2 linked regions of the Mytilus edulis genome follow. The protein of the gene in region 2 interacts with the protein of the main gene of each other region in a pairwise test. Links are inferred from orthologs where the notes say so. Each region holds a gene or a part of one and is shown on either strand. Other genes may lie near its edges.

Region 1 (9,105 bases), on a different chromosome or scaffold from region 2:
ATTAAACATTGAATTTTGATTAATTATTAAATGCAAGTTTAATAATTTTGGAAAAAAATTTTGGCTGTGGACTGGACACTTAGCATTTTCTTTCCATCATGAATCCTTGTATAAAAAGTACCCCACTGAAACAATTCATACCAACTGACACCCAAAAAGAACTGAAACAAAATCTGCCACATATCATGGAATAATGACATGAATTACTGCAAGTGTTTATATGAAAACAGATTGAGTGAATATTGATGGCAATAGAAACTTCAGAATATATGACAAAATTCATATAATAGTCAATTCATATTGGAGTCAAGTGCACTTCCCATTCCCCCTCCCACTGGTGGATACAGAAATTTTCATAAGTGGGGGCCCACTGACTGCCTTAGAGGGGACTGCTCCAGTCACGCTTCAGTGATTCCCTATATAAGCAACCATTTTTTTCCAAAAAAAGGGGGGGCCCACCCCCCTGTCCCTCTAAATCCGCCTCCTCCCCCTAAACAGTTCAGCACAGTTACATGTTGTAATAGGTGTGCAAAAGGTATGAACCAAACTTATATGAATTACTTATATGAATTGACCTAGAACAAATATTGACCAGTACATACGGAATGTTCATAGGAGTATCCCAAAATTGGCAAGTCACTGAGACATTCTTCCAAAAATAATAAGACAAAACAAATCTTACAATCTTGCACTTTTTTTCATAAAATTCAATTTATAATTCTGTTTTACATTGTTTTTTGTTGTGGTTTGGGAGGGGGGAGACATATTAGCCTTAGAAAGACATTTGAAGATCTACACAAGGTGACCTTTACTGAATAATTAACATACATATTTATATGTTATTTTTTCTTTTAATTTCTAATGCAAATTTGAACATCACTTACCCAATTCAACAGGATAAATTTGAGTGTTCACATCAAGAATCAAGTCCATCTTGAAAGATTCTGACTCACAAAATAATCTGGATACTGAAATAAAGATAAATCATTATACACATTGTCATCAGGACAAAAACTTTAAAAATTAAAACAAACTATAATAAAGAAGAATCTGACATCTCTTTAAGATATAATTTATTTTCATACTTCATAAATTTGAATAGTTGCCAGTGAAATATTTTCTCTTTTCTATAAGTGCTGTGAATTATATAAGACATATAATAACTCCAAAAACACTCTTATCCAAGATAAACAAAAGAAACACTAATAGGATTACTGAAATATGATAACTTGTGTGGAATATATAACAAATGTTATTTGGTTGTTTACATAGGGAATCACTGAATCATGTCAGTGGGTCTCCCCTTTAAAAAAGTTCTAGATCTGCTGCTGAGGGTATATATCTATGAGATGATAAAACAACAACACATCAAAATAAGTGAAATCTAAAGTTCAAAATTTGACCTTCCACAAATCACAACAAATGTTTAAAAACATTTTAAGCTCTAATGCAATTTTCCATGATTCAAGAATCTTCTGATACCAAATTTCCTAAATGACAAGAAGATATATTAAACAAACAACCATGGCACTGATGAGTAACATGGTGAAAAGGAAGACCATGCAAGGTTTAGCAGAAAATAAAATTAATCAAATCACTGTGCAAAATACATGTACTAGGTGTAAAATATAAGTTGTATTCATCCATATTGAAATCAATAATTATGGATTGCTAAATAAAATATCTGGTTTAATGCTTTGTAATGAGACATGATTTTTCTAATCAGTTACAACAGCTCTTCTAATGAGAGCAGATGATCTAAGGAAGAAAGATCAAATATCAGTGCATGCCAGTAACCTTGTCATGTTTTGATTGTAGATTGTGTACTTCTTGACTTTACTGTTATTATCTTCAGGTAACTATTGATACAGTAATCAAAGAAATTACCGCAAAGAAAACTCAACATGCATGTCTTTTGATATCATTTTTCTTTTCCCTTTTCACATATTTCTGCTTGGTTAAAAAAATATAGAGGGAAAGAATGGTTTATTTTCCTCAAATTTAATTTATTTTAAGTAGAGCAAATGAAGAACCATTCCCTTTTTATAAGTTGAATTGCACAAAATGATCTTCTAGTAATAATTAACTAAAATATATGCAGTTAATAAAATAGAGACTCAGGCATACATACTTGTCTATAAGATTTCCTTTATTTTTCAAGTTTTTTTTTATTTAACAAAAAATAAATTGCTGATGCTCTGCACAACTTTGGTATACATGTACATGTATGTACACATACCAAATACCATATTGCTATAGTCTTGTTTATAGAGTATTCTTGATAACTGTTGATAAGTATGTACCCTACAAAAGTCAGAAGGGGCAAACCTTAAAAGTCCCATTAAATTATTAGGTAAAAGACAAGAATGATGCCACTCTTCAATAATGCCCTCTTTCAAAAAAAAAAACCCTTATACATAGTAACATACAAATGTATGGTAATGTGTTTTTGTAGAACATTCACTTCACATAAATAATCAAGAGTGAATTAACAATTGTTTAATAAAATATTACAAATAAATTAAGAAGAGTTTGTTGAGGTGTAATAAAATATATAATAGAGTAATGGTAAATATGAGAGGTGAATGAACTTGTCAACCCACAGGTAACATACAGGTAAGTAATGTGTATTCCCTTTCCTAGGCAACCAGTGCAAGATCCAACATGTGGCTTCTGTCAGAAAAATGTCAGTGATGGCAAAAAAAGATTATGTGTTAAGATTAAAAAACAGAGGACAAGACAAATACTCTAATATGCTACAATTTATATTGTAATTGAAGTTATGCAGTATATATAGTAATGACAATACAATACTATTGTCAAGTGATTGATCAAAAGGGGTGGTTACTATCATGTTCCAGCCTGTTAATCAGATCAACTTTAAATCAATAGCAGATAACATTGATCATATTATTTCACTGCAATATCAATCATCATTTATCATGGTTTTTTTTTTTTTATCTTTTTGCATGAAATAATAAGTGCAATTTCATGTATAGAAAGAAATTTCCAAGACACCAAATTAAAACACATAATTCAAAGCCTTACTTGTACTGGTGTGAGGTCACAAGTCCTGGGTCCACAGTCTACTTCTAAATGATCTCCAAAGCATACATCAGTTTGCATCTTTAGTTGAGGTTTAAGTGATAAAATCATGTCAATTTCTGATATTTACAGATCTTCAGTAACATTAACAGTACCAATCTCTTCTCTTGATTGTGCCAGAATGAAGTACTAACAGTCGGCAGGGGGTTTTGTACTTCTTTTAATGTGACAAGCCAATCACATGAGAATGGTCTGACATGAACAAACATGTTGTCAAAAGACCGGGTACATGCTGGAATTCCAACGTATGAACCAAATTTCTGAAGTTTTTTTTCGAAGAAATTAAGAAAAGAAAACATTGCTTATAGCTTCAGCTAAATTATCACCTTGGCTAATTTCCAAATATTGTTGGAATCTAAAGGAAAATGTCACGTTTCACCCGGCAGACGCCATCTTGGAATGTCATTTGCCGGTAAATGAGATTGAACACGTTTGGACAGCATTCAACCTTAGTGACAAGTAAAAAAATATTTGAAAAATAGTATTTTATTTGGCTTACCTCTGTCGAACTTTTTCCCATCAGGATCAATGTCTTTCACATCAAAAATATCTTCAAACAAAACTCCAGCCATTGTTTGACGACAAAATTAGCAGTCAAACTTTATTTCCTTTCTTGTCCAAAGATCGTTTTTCTTCGCAAAACAGGATATTTCCAGTGTTAGAGTAGATGTTCAAGAATACCAAAATACAAATTATAGGGCTTATATTGTTCTTATTTAATCAAAATTAACGTTTAATGTTTGCTAATCATGCTAATTGAAACCGGAAGTGGCAATTGAAATACATTTTTCCTACTTTCATTATTAAAGAGTTCACACTACGTGACACGCCCACTTTTTGATAATTTTCGGGGCGACGTATGGGGGTCTGATGTAATGTGCGCAGAAATAACGATGGTCAAGCGCGAATGATGTTACGTTTTTAATTCTTGTCAAATCTATTAACTGATTAATACACTAAAGTTAGCAAAGCTTATAGCTGGGAAAATAATACATTTTCTCTCAAGATAAAATATGATCATTTTTAAAAAACTTTGATTTAATTGGCGGAATTTTATTATTGGCTGCTTAGCATCCAGTGGCAAATATTTCAATATGACAATTTCCAAATTCATATCAAAAGTTTTCTGGAAATGAAGAAGTGATCAGAACTGTGAAAAATATATTGAAACATAGAAATTTGATTTCCTTAGTTATGGTAACTATCATGACATCATAGGTGTGTTAGGAAAATCAGTCCTTTCTAAATTTCATTTCTTAGACAGTCCTTTATTCCATTTCAATTTTTTATAATGAATATTTGAATAGTTAAATAATGACACTCGAGACCTCTAGTAGCAAAACATTCCCATTTAAATTCTTGAACGGAGAATTGGTCCTGTGTTTGTTTACCATAACTTCAAATAAAACAATGCATACATGAATTTTTTTTCAGAACAAGGAATTTTCCTGTAGTCTTGTAATAAAACTGAGACAATAGGCATTTTAACCTTTGCATATAAGTCGATGGATTGTTGTAGCTTATATTGAACTGGACATAAATTATACTAGTAAATTATTTAACCATATGGGCCTTATATGAGGGGGAGGACAGGGGTAAGGGAGACAGGGAGAAAGGGGGTAGGAGAAAGGAGAAACGGGGTGGGAGAAAGGAGAAAGGGGGTAGGAGAAAGGAGAGGAAGGCTGGGAGAAAGGAGAAAAAGTTGGAGAAAGGAGGTAGGAGAAAGGAGAGGAAGGCTGGGAGAAAGGAGAAAAAGTTGGAGAAAGGAGAAAAAATAAAATATCTCTCCTCTTAAAAATTTTTCTAATATTTCAAGAAAAAATATCTCAAAAGGAGATGTTTTATTCTAATGGGAGAAAGGAGAACGGGGGTAGGAGAAAGGAGAAGAGGGGTGGGAGAAGGGAGAAGGGTACCCCCTGTCCTCCCCCTCTTATATACTATCCATTAGAGTTCCAAAAACACATTTGACCTGGACCAATTAATTAAGCAGTGATATTTGCACGGCTGACTGGCACTACGGCTTACTATTCGAACTTTGAGCAATGAGTGTACATACGTATAGTGGTATCTTGTTTCGTCACGTAGATGCATGAGCCTTTTCATGTTTTTTTTTTATTATGTGATAAGTTGGCTTGTTTTAGTGATTATGTGATAACCAGACCAAATATTTCAGTCATGATTATTTATTTGATAATCTAGGACGGTTTTTGATTATTTGATTATCTTTGTAAATAATTTTATGTTTTGATTGGCAGTTTTCATTATGTGATTACTTGCATGGACATCTCATGAGGGTTAATCAAGCGTGGATGGTACTTTGCCCCTTCTTACAATGTAAATATTCAATTACATTTGTTAAAATGATCCGTATTTGGAATTTAAGCTGTACAATGTAAAAACCCTTTTACAAGGCGGGATATCGCCCCCTCATTTTTACGTGAATGTTGTATAATTAGAGCCCGCGAACTGAAACGATCTACGTTAACTCATTGGTTCTATGAATACACTTATCCTTAAAGGTTATCGTTTTATCGATCACTGTATAAGATCTTTGAAGGATTTAACATTGATTTGGTTATTATTGAGTTAAAATATACCTAATTTGTAAATATGCTTTTGTTATATACAGCTATGAAAACTTGTCATATTAGATTTCTCCTTTGAATTGCTTTAAACTTGTCATATCGGGACCGTTTGGTTTTGCCCATAGTTGAAGGCCCTACGGTGACATATATATAGTGGTTAATATTTACGTCATTTGGTGGAGAGTTGTCTCATTGTCAAAAATACCACATGTTCTTGTATTTATCTTATCATATGCTCCTAGTTATATTACACTGTGTCTAAACCACACCGGCAAAATTTGCTCGGACTCGATGGTATCTAACATCCGGCACAATGACGGAACACCAATAGACAAAATAAAGGTAGGTTTCTCCTTATTTTTTTATTTTTTTTATGATATCGAAGAATAAATATACATATACAACTATTTTCTATTGTGAGATGCAATATTTTCTACAACCGTTCTATATTAACGGAGAAATAAGTCAAAATGCATGTCAAAATGACGAATTGAGTGAACCTTGCCTCGAAATTGTTTAATTTCTCGTTAAATTGTTCACATTGTACGGAAAGAAAGGTACGGGAAGATAGATATTGACACGGAGATTGCAAATTTAGTTATTATGAGCATCTCCATAATTGTATCTCTGTGTATGGAACGAAAGAAATGGGTCATGTCAAAATGGAACTGGCCGGTTTCGTCAATGTATACAACCCGGTTTCGTCATAGATTTCAAAATGCATAACCCGGTTTGGTCAAATAAAAAAAATCATAATCGCATTACATTTTAATTGATAATTAAACTTCAGCGTTCAAAAGGAGTTTTGTGGGTCGTTGGAAAACAATGTTCGTTCACCGGACAACGGCTTATTATTTATATGAGTCTCAGATTCAAATAAATGATAAGCAAAAACTTGAATTCCTACTCTTATAGAACACAAATATTTTAATTTACTCAGTGTCAGAGTGACCTTTTTCATGACGTCTGTGGCCACTTATTGTTTTTAATTTTTTCCCACAAAAACAGCAAACAAACACATTTTGATCATCGGTCCTGTTGATTGCAGTTGAAACAGCTGATGAGTTTTCATTGATAAGTTCATGAAATGACTCATCTAATGCCTCAATTGTAACGTTTTCTGTCATCTGAAATAATAAAAAACAACAGATTATTTTAAAATGTCTATCAACATGAAAAGTTCATACAAATTCCAAGCGACAACAACCCGACCATAGAGCAGAAAACAGCCGAAGGCCACAATGGGTCTTCAATGAAGCGAGAAACTCCCGCGTCCGGTGGCGTACTTTAGCTGGCCCCTTAATAAATATTTATACTAGTTCAGTGATAGTGGACTTCATAGTAAACTGCGAATACATGTATATTTATTATATTTAAGGGATAATTTTAACTACGATACAAGTTTCGGCACACATCGCGCATTTACTATACAGGCTCTGTCATCGGACGAGTTAAGGTTTTTCATCATTTTTTATTATTTGTACTTTTGTTGTACTGGTTGTGTCAGCGACAACACTTTGACTCAGTCCATTCCCGAATCACACGCTTGTAATTCCATGGGTGTCTTTGGTTGCTTTATACCATATGCGTTTTGAACATAAAATAGGCAGGTAGTTTTCTTGTTTGAATTGTTTTACATTTATAATATAGGGCCCTGTTGTAGCTTGCTTTCATGCAGTTTGTGTGTTTTTCTCATTGTTTAAGGCATACGCTGACCTAAACTTGATTAATTCAACATAATTTTTGTGTCTAAAAGAAAGTTGTCTCATTGTCAATGTTTATGGGATAAGTGGTTACCGTCACTTCTTCTTAATAAGACCTAGATATAAATGACGATCGTGTTTTGCAAATCAACTTTTATTCACATTGAAAATACAAAACTGTCAGATATTGTTTTCGAAAGTTATCTTAAAGTTTCAATTGAATTTGAACTGTACAAAAAATGAATTTGAACTGTAAAAATAATGTGAAAAACATGCCTATGAAAATAAATGTGCCTACCAGAAAAGGAATGTTATGGATGCTTGAGTGTGAAAACTCGCTTTAGTGCGCAAGTAACACAGTATATATAGTACCAGAAAATCTGGCAGGACTGCATGCATGATTAATTTGTGCAGAACAGCATAGACTATAGTCGGTTTGGGACTGTTCGTCAATGATTGAATGCATAAATGTATAAATAATTGATAGTAAATATTGTAAACTAAGTGTATATAATATAGTACTAGTATAGTAAATTAAAATTATGGCACAATCAAAACACATCCTTTTATTTTTCATCTTTACATACTACTATTATAAACAAAGAAAATATAATAATGTTACAAAATAATTAGATACCAGTGCAGTATTTATATTCCTTTTAAAATTAGTTTGAAGTCAAGTGAAATAAGGGATACGCCTTTCATTAGGAAAATGTGTATTATCATAATTAACTATGTCCAAAAGTTCCCGTTTAAAATAGATTTTAACACGCCAAGTTTACTTTACAATAAATATATATTTAAATTCTCGAAAGACAATGTTCCGATCCGTGCCAAAGTCTCTTTTCATAAATTGTTTGTTAAAAAAAAACAAAAAAAAACCGGGTGATATATATAGACGAAACCGGGTGATTGTGAAGTAACAACATTGACGAAACCGGTTTATTTTAATTTGATATGGCCCTTTTCTTTCGTTCCATACACAGAAACACAATTATTGAGATGCTCATAATAACTAAATTTGCAATCTCCGTGTCAATATCTATCTTCCCGTACCTTTCTTTCCGTACAATGTGAACAATTTAACGAGAAATTAAACAATTTCGAGGCAAGGTTCACTCAATTCGTCATTTTGACATGCATTTTGACTTATTTCTCCGTTAATATAGAACGGTTGTAGAAAATATTGTATTTCACAATAGAAAATAGTTGTATATGTATATATATTCTTCGATATCATAAAAAAAATAAAAAAATAAGGAGAAACCTACCTTTATTTTGTCTATTGGTGTTCCGTCATTGTGCCGGATGTTAGATACCATCGAGTCCGAGCAAATTTTGCCGGTGTGGTTTAGACACAGTGTTATTATGGCATTGTATAAAGCGACGCGTTTTTCTAAGACCCTTGACTTATTTCAACTAAATCCGTTGTATTTGTCCGTGTCCCTAGTGTTATATGTATAAGTCTGTGAATCTACACATTCCTATCTTTCACAAATACCCCAGTTGGTACTATGTGGTAATTTTAATCATACTGATCAAGTGCTTCAATTTATGTGCCTTTTTGCTAATTGTATAATATAATTATTTGCAGGACCTAATATGTCTTCCCAGTCTACACGTCCGTTTTGCTTCGCATGCATAGGTTTAACTTTTATTTCTTGTATGTTGTATATCAAAATAGGCAAGCATTCTGGGTAGATTTTCTATAT
Region 2 (8,912 bases):
CATATATTTACGTCATTGCGGATAACCACGTTTACATGTACTTGTGTATATTGATTTTCTGTTGACTTTTACAGTTTCTTTTCTCGAATCAAGTGCAGAATTTAACTATATAATTTGATGTTTATTAATTAATTCATTCATCATGATCATTGTAGTATGTTAAGAAGGTAATTCGTTTTTAAAAGCAAGGGATTAACAATATAAGTAAAAACAATATTAATATCCTGTCTGCACAATCCTAATGATCATCCCTAATTCATACAATCCTGAATGAACCGGATTATAGCGAAATAAACTACGTAATTATTGATATGTAGCAATACACATAATAATTAATAATAAATAAGCTTTATTTAGACATGTTAGAGTCGGCAAGGTATTCAAACAGAGACAACATAGGCTCTAATGAGCTTTTATCCTACATTAATTCAATACACATTCTTAGAATTCATCGATATCACATAAATACATAATTATGTTACATATACATGTATGCATACTTCTACATAAATATAATGTCAATACAAACACAAATTATTGCCGCTTTGACAACAGAAATAAGTGCTAATAAAGACCTCGTTGAACTATGGTTGCTTTATTTTAGTGCTTTCTGCAATGTCCGTGCTTAGAATCCAGATGCGGATTTAAGAGGGGCAGGCCGTCCCTAAAGTCCCCTTAGGAGCTTCACATATTACAAATGCAAAGACTCAAACTGACGATGGCTACATTGTAACTATGGATCCGTACCTTACCCCCCCCCCCCCCCTTTTCTTTTTACATCTACATGTCATCTAACGTTCATACATGAGCATTTTTCAATCACCTAACCTCGTCGTGTTGTTCTCGGTTATACGGTTTCATGTATTTATGATTAAAGGGGGTCCGAATGAGGGTCCTTCATTTCTGTATCCTTAAATCTTTATGCTATTTATCTGTATTTTTTATTTTTTGTCTATTGTTTTCAATCATTTATACATGTATCATAACAACCCATTATTAAATCTACTTCATGTTTCTTCTGTTTTTCTCCTCCTCCCCCCTTTTTTCTGTATTTTTTGCCAATTATTCTCTATGCTGGGAACCTTGTATCATTCAGACCCACGTATATATCTGATAATACTCTGATATTTTTTTATACTATAATTATATATAAGTAACTGTCTAGATTGATTCTATATCTGCGTGTTTATTAACGAAAACAAGCACTTTGTGTTAAGATATTTTTACATGTGAATAGAAACATGTTCGTGCATATATATTCGGAGTAACCTATAACAATGTATATTAGTATGCACTACATGTAAATATCTACAGCTATATATACATTTGTTTTAGTGTTTATTCGTTTTCCTTAAACCTTTTAAAATCTAGAAAATGTTCTTCCAACACATGTTTAAATTTGGAATTCCTAAATTGAACTTTTTCAACTTTGACGCAAAAATAACGTGTCTCAGAAAATTAAGTCAACCGTTCACGTGCTACATGTACATTAAAAAACTTGTTTCATCTTTTTTTTTAACCATCTTAAGGAATTGTGCCAAATAAGAAGCCGTGTTAAACTGTCTTTAAACCTTCTTTTTTGTACCAAATTGGTACACCAAAGCTTGTAACTTTTCACTAAAATAGTGTCAATGTTTGAAATTGCTATTTTTATTTCGATTGGCAAATGTGATGTGCATGTATAGTGAGTATACACCAGAAAACATTTTATTAAAATATACTGAAGACAAACCAGTGGATTAAAGAGAATGACTTATTTGTAACTCTCATAATCAGTCATCTAAACCGACAGTTTTTGCTGGAATATAAAATAAGGAGACGTGGTATGAACTTTTTACCAAAGTTCAAATGGAGTGTTTATAAGCAATTACGGGGCCCGTAAGCCTTCAAAAACTAGAAAACCCCATACCTTATAGTCAGCTATAAAAGGCTCCGACATGAAAAATGTGGAACACGTTATTTAAAGACAGACTGAAAATTCTTCAGCTGAGCATATTAACGAGGTCAAGAATGTTGAAATACATATATATATACAAAAAAGAAGATGTGGTATGATTGCCAATGAGACAACTGTCCACAACAGATTTTATACTAATTTATTTACTGTTCACTTATGGAAATTATTTATAATGTTTCTCACGTTGAAACTCCACACCATGAATAGATATATTTGATGTTTACAAAGCGTTTGATATATATTGATTTCGCCTTCGATTCTGACAGACAATGTCGATTTTACACCGAAGGTCGATTTCATACACAGTCGTTCGTCTGAAACTAATTACTACGTATTTACTTGTTTACTTCCTTCTTTAGTACGGGGGCTTATTATATACACCTGAAACTTAATATACGTTATGCAGTATATCAAGTATTATAGGGTTATTGCATGAATATTGGGGAATATTGTCCCGAGTAGAATTTTGTATTGCACGAGCTTGCGAGTGCAATATATGTTCTACGAGGGACAGTATTCCCTAATATTCATGCAATAACCCTTTTATTGTATAGAAATATAATATTTGAAAGTAAAAATTGGTTTAAACTAAGATTTAAACGTTGATGACGTCATGAATTTTGAAGATTTATTGCACTAACTGCAATATTAGAATTTATTGCACGCTAACTTTTGGTTACGTTCTGTGGGAAATATTATATTGCTATACAATAAACATATTTACTATCTAATATATTTGCTTTAATTTGAAAACGACTTTCCTCGATAATAAATTATGTGTTCCTGTGTTTGTTCACACACTGTCAGAACCCCTACTGGAATGAAATATTTTAATTATTATCAAGTCTTAACAATATTCTTTATGTATTTTTCTTCATTGATAATACTCAGAATTTATCAAAATTGCAGCTCTGAGCGTTTTTATGCGTTTTAAATTAGTTGATTACATTTACTGAAAAAATTACATACATAAATCTGTAATCGTGACTGACAACACATTTTAGAGGCGTATCACGACAGGTGTCGTATGTGGAGCAGGATCTGTTTACCCTTCTAGAGCACCCAGTGAGATGACCCACGGCCGTTAATAAGGGTTCGTGTTGTCGGCTATTCTTAGTGTTTTTGTCATTATGTTTTGAGTATTGTTGGTTAATTTTTCGTCGTTTTTCATGTTTTTTTCAATATTGTATTGTCTGTTTGTGTTCGGACTTTGATATGAGTTTGAATGTCATTTGGTATCTTTTGCCTCCCTTTTGGTCAGTACACAATGCAAGTAAAATGAAGTCGAAAGAATTTGAGTGAATGGCCCTACATTTCGACTATCTCTCCTCAGTCCTCAGGCTCCTCATCATTTTTTTCAATACGTACACCCAGAACTATTCTTCAATGTGATATTTCAATTCCGATAAATATAATGTTTTATTACAAAACCAAAAGTGAGATAAACTAAACCCCCCTTTTCACAAAAAAAAAGTATATACAAAAAAGGTAATTTTAAAAATAAACAGTTAGACCTTACAATTTATCATAGTTATTCAAGGAATCATAATGTCTCACATTGTAATGCATGTTTATGAATATATATTTATTTATTCTTTTACTACTTATTTTTTTTCTTCTTCAAATGACTACATGTATATTCGAAATCTATTAATTATTTGATAATTAATTTACTATCATCAGCATCATTATTAAAATAAAATCAATCGTCGTTGTTGTCATCAACATCATCATTATAATCATCATTTTACTAAACAACGTTCATTTATATCCTAGATGAAAAATTTCTGTTTCATATGCAAGTTTTCTTAATTTTACGTAAAACTCTAATTAGGAAAACATATAATTATTTTCCTTACCTGCATCTGAACTCTTGTTCTCCATGTTATTCGAATACGTAAAAATGAATGAATGAAGACTTGTTTACTATTTCTATTTACCACCAGGGTCAACAGGTGAAAGTTGAAAGGCTTATATATGCATCTTCAACCGGAAGTGTAAAAATCAAAACAAATACTTCAACTTCCGCTATGGCCGCCTCCATGAAGAAAAGCATGTCCAGCAAGAAAAGGTTGTTGTACTTAAAATCATGTCATTTTTAACATTCTAAATGAATAAAAATTATATTCTATCAATAATTAGTCATACAAAACAGTTACACGTTAACAAAATTAACTAAACGCCATCGCTCAAAAACACGTTTTTTTTTTAAACATGTATACAAATATACATGATTTACACAATATAATTATTTATTATCCATTGCTTTCATCAATTCCTGTCGATCCGGCGCTAATCCGATACGCCAAATTCGATCTGGACCACAAATATAGTCGATGAGGACCCAATTTGAAATAAAATGATTACCATACATAATTTTCAATATTTTATTTAGGATAACATTGCATGTTTGTATATATATGTACATGTACTTGTACTTACTTATAATGTAGATCCAAATGTTTACGGAACAACTGAGCTGCAAGGGTATAGTTGAATCTGTGTACACTCCTTTATATCAGGATTAACAGGTTGGGAACAACTCTAGCCCTAAAATGAGGGGACTATCCCTTTTATGAGGGGTATCCCGTAGTCATCTGTTCTCAATAGTTATCAGTTCTCAATAGCAATGCACCCTGGTAAAATAGAAGTAGGTCGTGAATTCGCACATGTTTTCTTGATGTCCGTATTTCAAAGACAGAATAAAAACTCGCTTCAAGCAAGCAATAATGTCACCATTTCAAGTTTCAGACATGGTATAACGTTCAACAGCAGTGTTCTCCCCAGGCCGTTTTAGCACAGCGCTTTTCAGCGCTATTGCAATTCCCCGCTGTCCTATTGCACTGACCACAGCGCTATCCCATGCAAACGCGTCGCTATATTTTTTTTCGTATTTTTCAAATTTTTTCAAATTTCCCGCTTATTTTTCACTTCAGACCACATGATCGACTGGTTTACGATTTTTGAAAGAATTTTCGTTGTATTAAAGTAACTCCGCGGGACCAGTCTCATAAATTTTACAAAATGGCGTTTTTTGAAAGATCAAAATAAACAAAGATTTCGACATTGACATCTATTATTTTAATTTAAAGAATATATAGAGGCATATATGAATGAAATGAGATGAAATGAATTGACCGCATTTCCTGACGTCACTCACAAACTTGTTTTACAAACTTTGAACAAACGAGGATTTTAAAAACGATCAAACACAGGGGTCTGTTACAAATTATTTGCCGGGTTTACTATCCATACGAACCCCGAAAATGAGCAAGTCTTTTAAGTATTCATTATCCCTTATTCGAACTTATAATTGTTTAGTCAGAAATTCTACCATTTGATAGCATATGATTAGAAAAACAAACCCAAGCTGATATGACTTGAGAAATTTTACTGTCTCCATTTCAAGCTTGGATGAGGCCATTTAAATATTATAAACGTTAAGGTCATAAAAATGAAAAAAAATGTTAATTCCTGTCAAACGTCATAAGGTTAACAGTACACTGCTACAGTTGGTTACAAAACCAAACACTGAAACAGAAGCTGACAATGACTTTATTGTTGGTCCTTACATGTTCTGCATTATTACCTGATAGTGCTAAGAAATCTTCACACAGACATGTCTGGTGTAGACCCATTATGGAAAAAGATTTCTCCTCCAGTTTTATACATAGATAGTATGAGGATTATATATATGAATTTACAATGGAGAAAAAAATACTCTTCTTCTTTATCCAGACAATAACATTAACAATCAAAGCCTCATTAAGGGGTACACTGTAACTTCCATGAGCATGATGAGGACATCATAACAAGAGGAAACATCAACAGCATAATATAATAAAAACACATAACAAAACAATTACAAACCGTGCGCCGCGATAAAGTTACTGAGCATTGTCAAAAATTATGCGATTACCACAGCGCTATCCAAAAATTCTGGGGAGAACACTGCAACAGTATAAATAATATTTTTCAATTTTAACCTACTTTTCCTTATTCCCAAAACAACCCCAACTTCATCCCCTTGGTTCATTAATAGCAAATCAGAGCTCCAGATAAGCTGCATATTTGCGTCATCACACAATAAAAATAATTAAAAACCCAATGCAATTGCCCATTGCAGGGTTCAATAACCCAATTAATTCAAAGGAAATTATCTGATTATATATATGCCAAAACTATGAGTTCTTAACGCTTTTACTCGCTATCGTTTGCGTTATTTACCCTTATCTGATTACAGTCGTAGCGTAAATCTATTTTATAATATTAATAATTGGAAATGTCCTATCATTCTAAAAATAGAGCCCTGCATCAGGTAGCTGAAATGGGTCCCTGTTGGAACATACAATGATTTAAAACGAAAGTAAATGTCCGCATGTTTTCATCTTCTTTTTGATAGCTTAGGGAAAGCTATGATAATAACAAAACTCAGCTAGTTTTTTAATGAAGCATCCATCAAACGCATGTGCGTGTTTGCATACCTTGGGGTTACGTCAAAAACGAAACCAGTTGTAAAAAGTGAAAGGTATATCTAAATCTGGGAACTACTTATTTTTTTTTTTTGTAAAGTAGGTCTGGCAAATAGGTGAAACTACTGGCAAAACTTTCTTACAGCACCTAGCTTAGTGGTTAAAAACCCAATTTGATATTTGCTTGAGGGGTGAACTGAAATTGATAATGCAATTAAAAATCTTTATCACCCAATTACGTAAAAAAATGGTGGGTAAAAACCACAATTTGTGAATTCTTATCTGGAACTGTGGCACATTTTCAAATGTAAACAAAACCTAGCTCGAAAAGAATGTCAAGTCCACATATGTATTACACAATTGTTAGATGTAGTGTGACACCGCTATGGAAAAAAAATCTATGGAACGCAGTTTCGGCCATATCTTATGAACTTTAAAGTTTAATTCGATTCAATTATCGGAGAAGGTATGCCCTTAAATTTGTATCTGTGACAGTCAAATATAAAAAACAGCTGTGACAACTTCTTACATTGTATAACATATAAGAACTGGTTCAATACGGAGCAAAAGTTGGTTACACTACTGAGAACCGATAACACTAGGATACTTTTAGTCCAAATAATTATGAGGTCTTGGAAGGCTATTTTAAATTTTTGCTTTGACGCCTTCCTGCAATGTAAGGCCTCAAAGATAAAAATATAATAGCCTTTCAAGATGTCATAATTATTTGGACTACATGTACATGTAGGGTACTTTTCAAGTGATAAAATTTGGATATTTGTTAAAAACCTCTTTTTAGTACAAATGGGCACATATTTATATTTAATACTATTCAAAGAAACTATTTCCCAAAAATCTATACATCTATCTGGTATTACATGGTAAAAACATGTCCAAGATTTTTTTATATTCCTGGACATACAATGTATACAATGTATACATGTACGTGTACATGTATCTTCTTTATTATTAAAATTAATTCAACCCTTCTTTTAGAAAAGTTGTTCGAAATATAATGATTTTTTTCCTTTTACAATGTTTTTAAAGTAATAAATCTAAAAAAAAATCTATTTTCTTTTCTACAACAGTAAAATGACCCCTTCTCTAAGGGGATTCCTTTATATAAGGGATATCCCTCATTTGGGGGTGTTCCCAACATGTTAAATGGAGTAATGGAGATGTTACACCAACGTATTTACAAATATTTACAAGAACAATCCCCATCCCAACACACGGAAGTGCTCGGACAATGAATAAAGGTTGTTATTATGGTGGAGAAAGCCAAAGTACTAGGAGCCAACCGCCATGCTGCTCACCAGGAACAGACAAACCCAAGAGAGACTGTGGATTCATTTATTTTCGTGTGTACCAATTTTTGTGGATTGAGAAAATATTGTATTTTAGTGAAAATTTATTTGATTTCGTGGTTTTACTAAAGGGTTTATACAAGCCTAAAGAGAATTTATACTTCGTTGAACATTTAATTTCGTGGTTCACCTCAAACCACGAAATCAATGAGAACTGGTATCCCACGAAAATAAATAAATCCACAGTATCAGTAGATTGATCTTCCGGTCAAGGTCATTGGCAACATTGACCAACTGAGGTCCCAAAAGTACCCATTCTAGTTTAAACTCCGGTCTTGGTACCAGAGATATTGTGTTGGAAGTTGAAAATCACCTATCTGATGAACTGATATTTTCAATGCTCTGAATTGAATGTGGACCTTCAGCACTGTAGCCATGAGTCTCTTAACCAGTAGACAATAAACACACCTGTTTATGATATAAATATTAATGATTTTTTTATCATTATCAAAGGTATATGTAGATGATCAAAATTGTGCCCTAAATTTACAATTTTCAAAAGAGGAGACATTTATTTGAATACTTTAAATATTCTAAATATTTGTACTAGATTTCATATAGAAATATATTGAAATTTTTAATTTTTATACGACCGCAAAATTTGAAAATTTTTTCGTCGTATATTGCTATCACGTTGGCGTTGGCGTCGTCGTCGTCGTCCGGCGTCCGAATACTTTTAGTTTTCGCACTCTAACTTTAGTAAAAGTGAATGGAAATCTATGAAATTTTAACTAAAGGTTTATGACCACAAAAGGAAGGTTGGTATTGATTTTGGGAGTTTTGGTCCCAACATTTTAGGAATTAGGGGCCAAAAAGGGCCCAAATAAGCATTTTCTTGGTTTTCGCACTATAACTTTAGTTTAAGTTAATAGAAATCTATGAAATTTTGACACAAGGTTTATGACCACAAAAGAACGGTTGGGATTGATTTTGGGAGTTTAGGTTTCAACAGTTTAGGAATTAGGGGCCAAAAAAGGCCCCAAATAAGCATTATTCTTGGTTTTCGCACAATAACTTGAGTTTAAGTAAATAGAAATCAATGAAATTTAAACACAATGTTAATGACTACAAAAGGAAGGTTGGTATTGATTTTGGGAGTTTAGGTCCTAACAGTTT

What was found.
Region 1: the proteins of cytidine deaminase-like (region 2) and DNA-directed RNA polymerases I, II, and III subunit RPABC3-like interact in a two-hybrid assay, tested with the Caenorhabditis elegans proteins (2 studies listed by BioGRID). The link is inferred for Mytilus edulis from reciprocal best matches to the Caenorhabditis elegans genes cdd-2 and rpb-8.

The regions. Positions count from the first base shown.
Region 1 is NC_092348.1:81,823,029-81,832,133, reverse strand, and holds the start of DNA-directed RNA polymerases I, II, and III subunit RPABC3-like, read right to left. Parts: upstream 3,894-9,105; 5' UTR 3,678-3,893; coding exon 3,605-3,677; intron 969-3,604; coding exon 885-968; intron 1-884. UniProt on the Caenorhabditis elegans protein: DNA-dependent RNA polymerase catalyzes the transcription of DNA into RNA using the four ribonucleoside triphosphates as substrates.
Region 2 is NC_092356.1:62,036,101-62,045,012, reverse strand, and holds the start of cytidine deaminase-like, read right to left. Parts: upstream 3,933-8,912; 5' UTR 3,842-3,932; coding exon 3,817-3,841; intron 1-3,816. Other genes in the region: nucleolar complex protein 2 homolog, read left to right, coding at 3,988-4,028.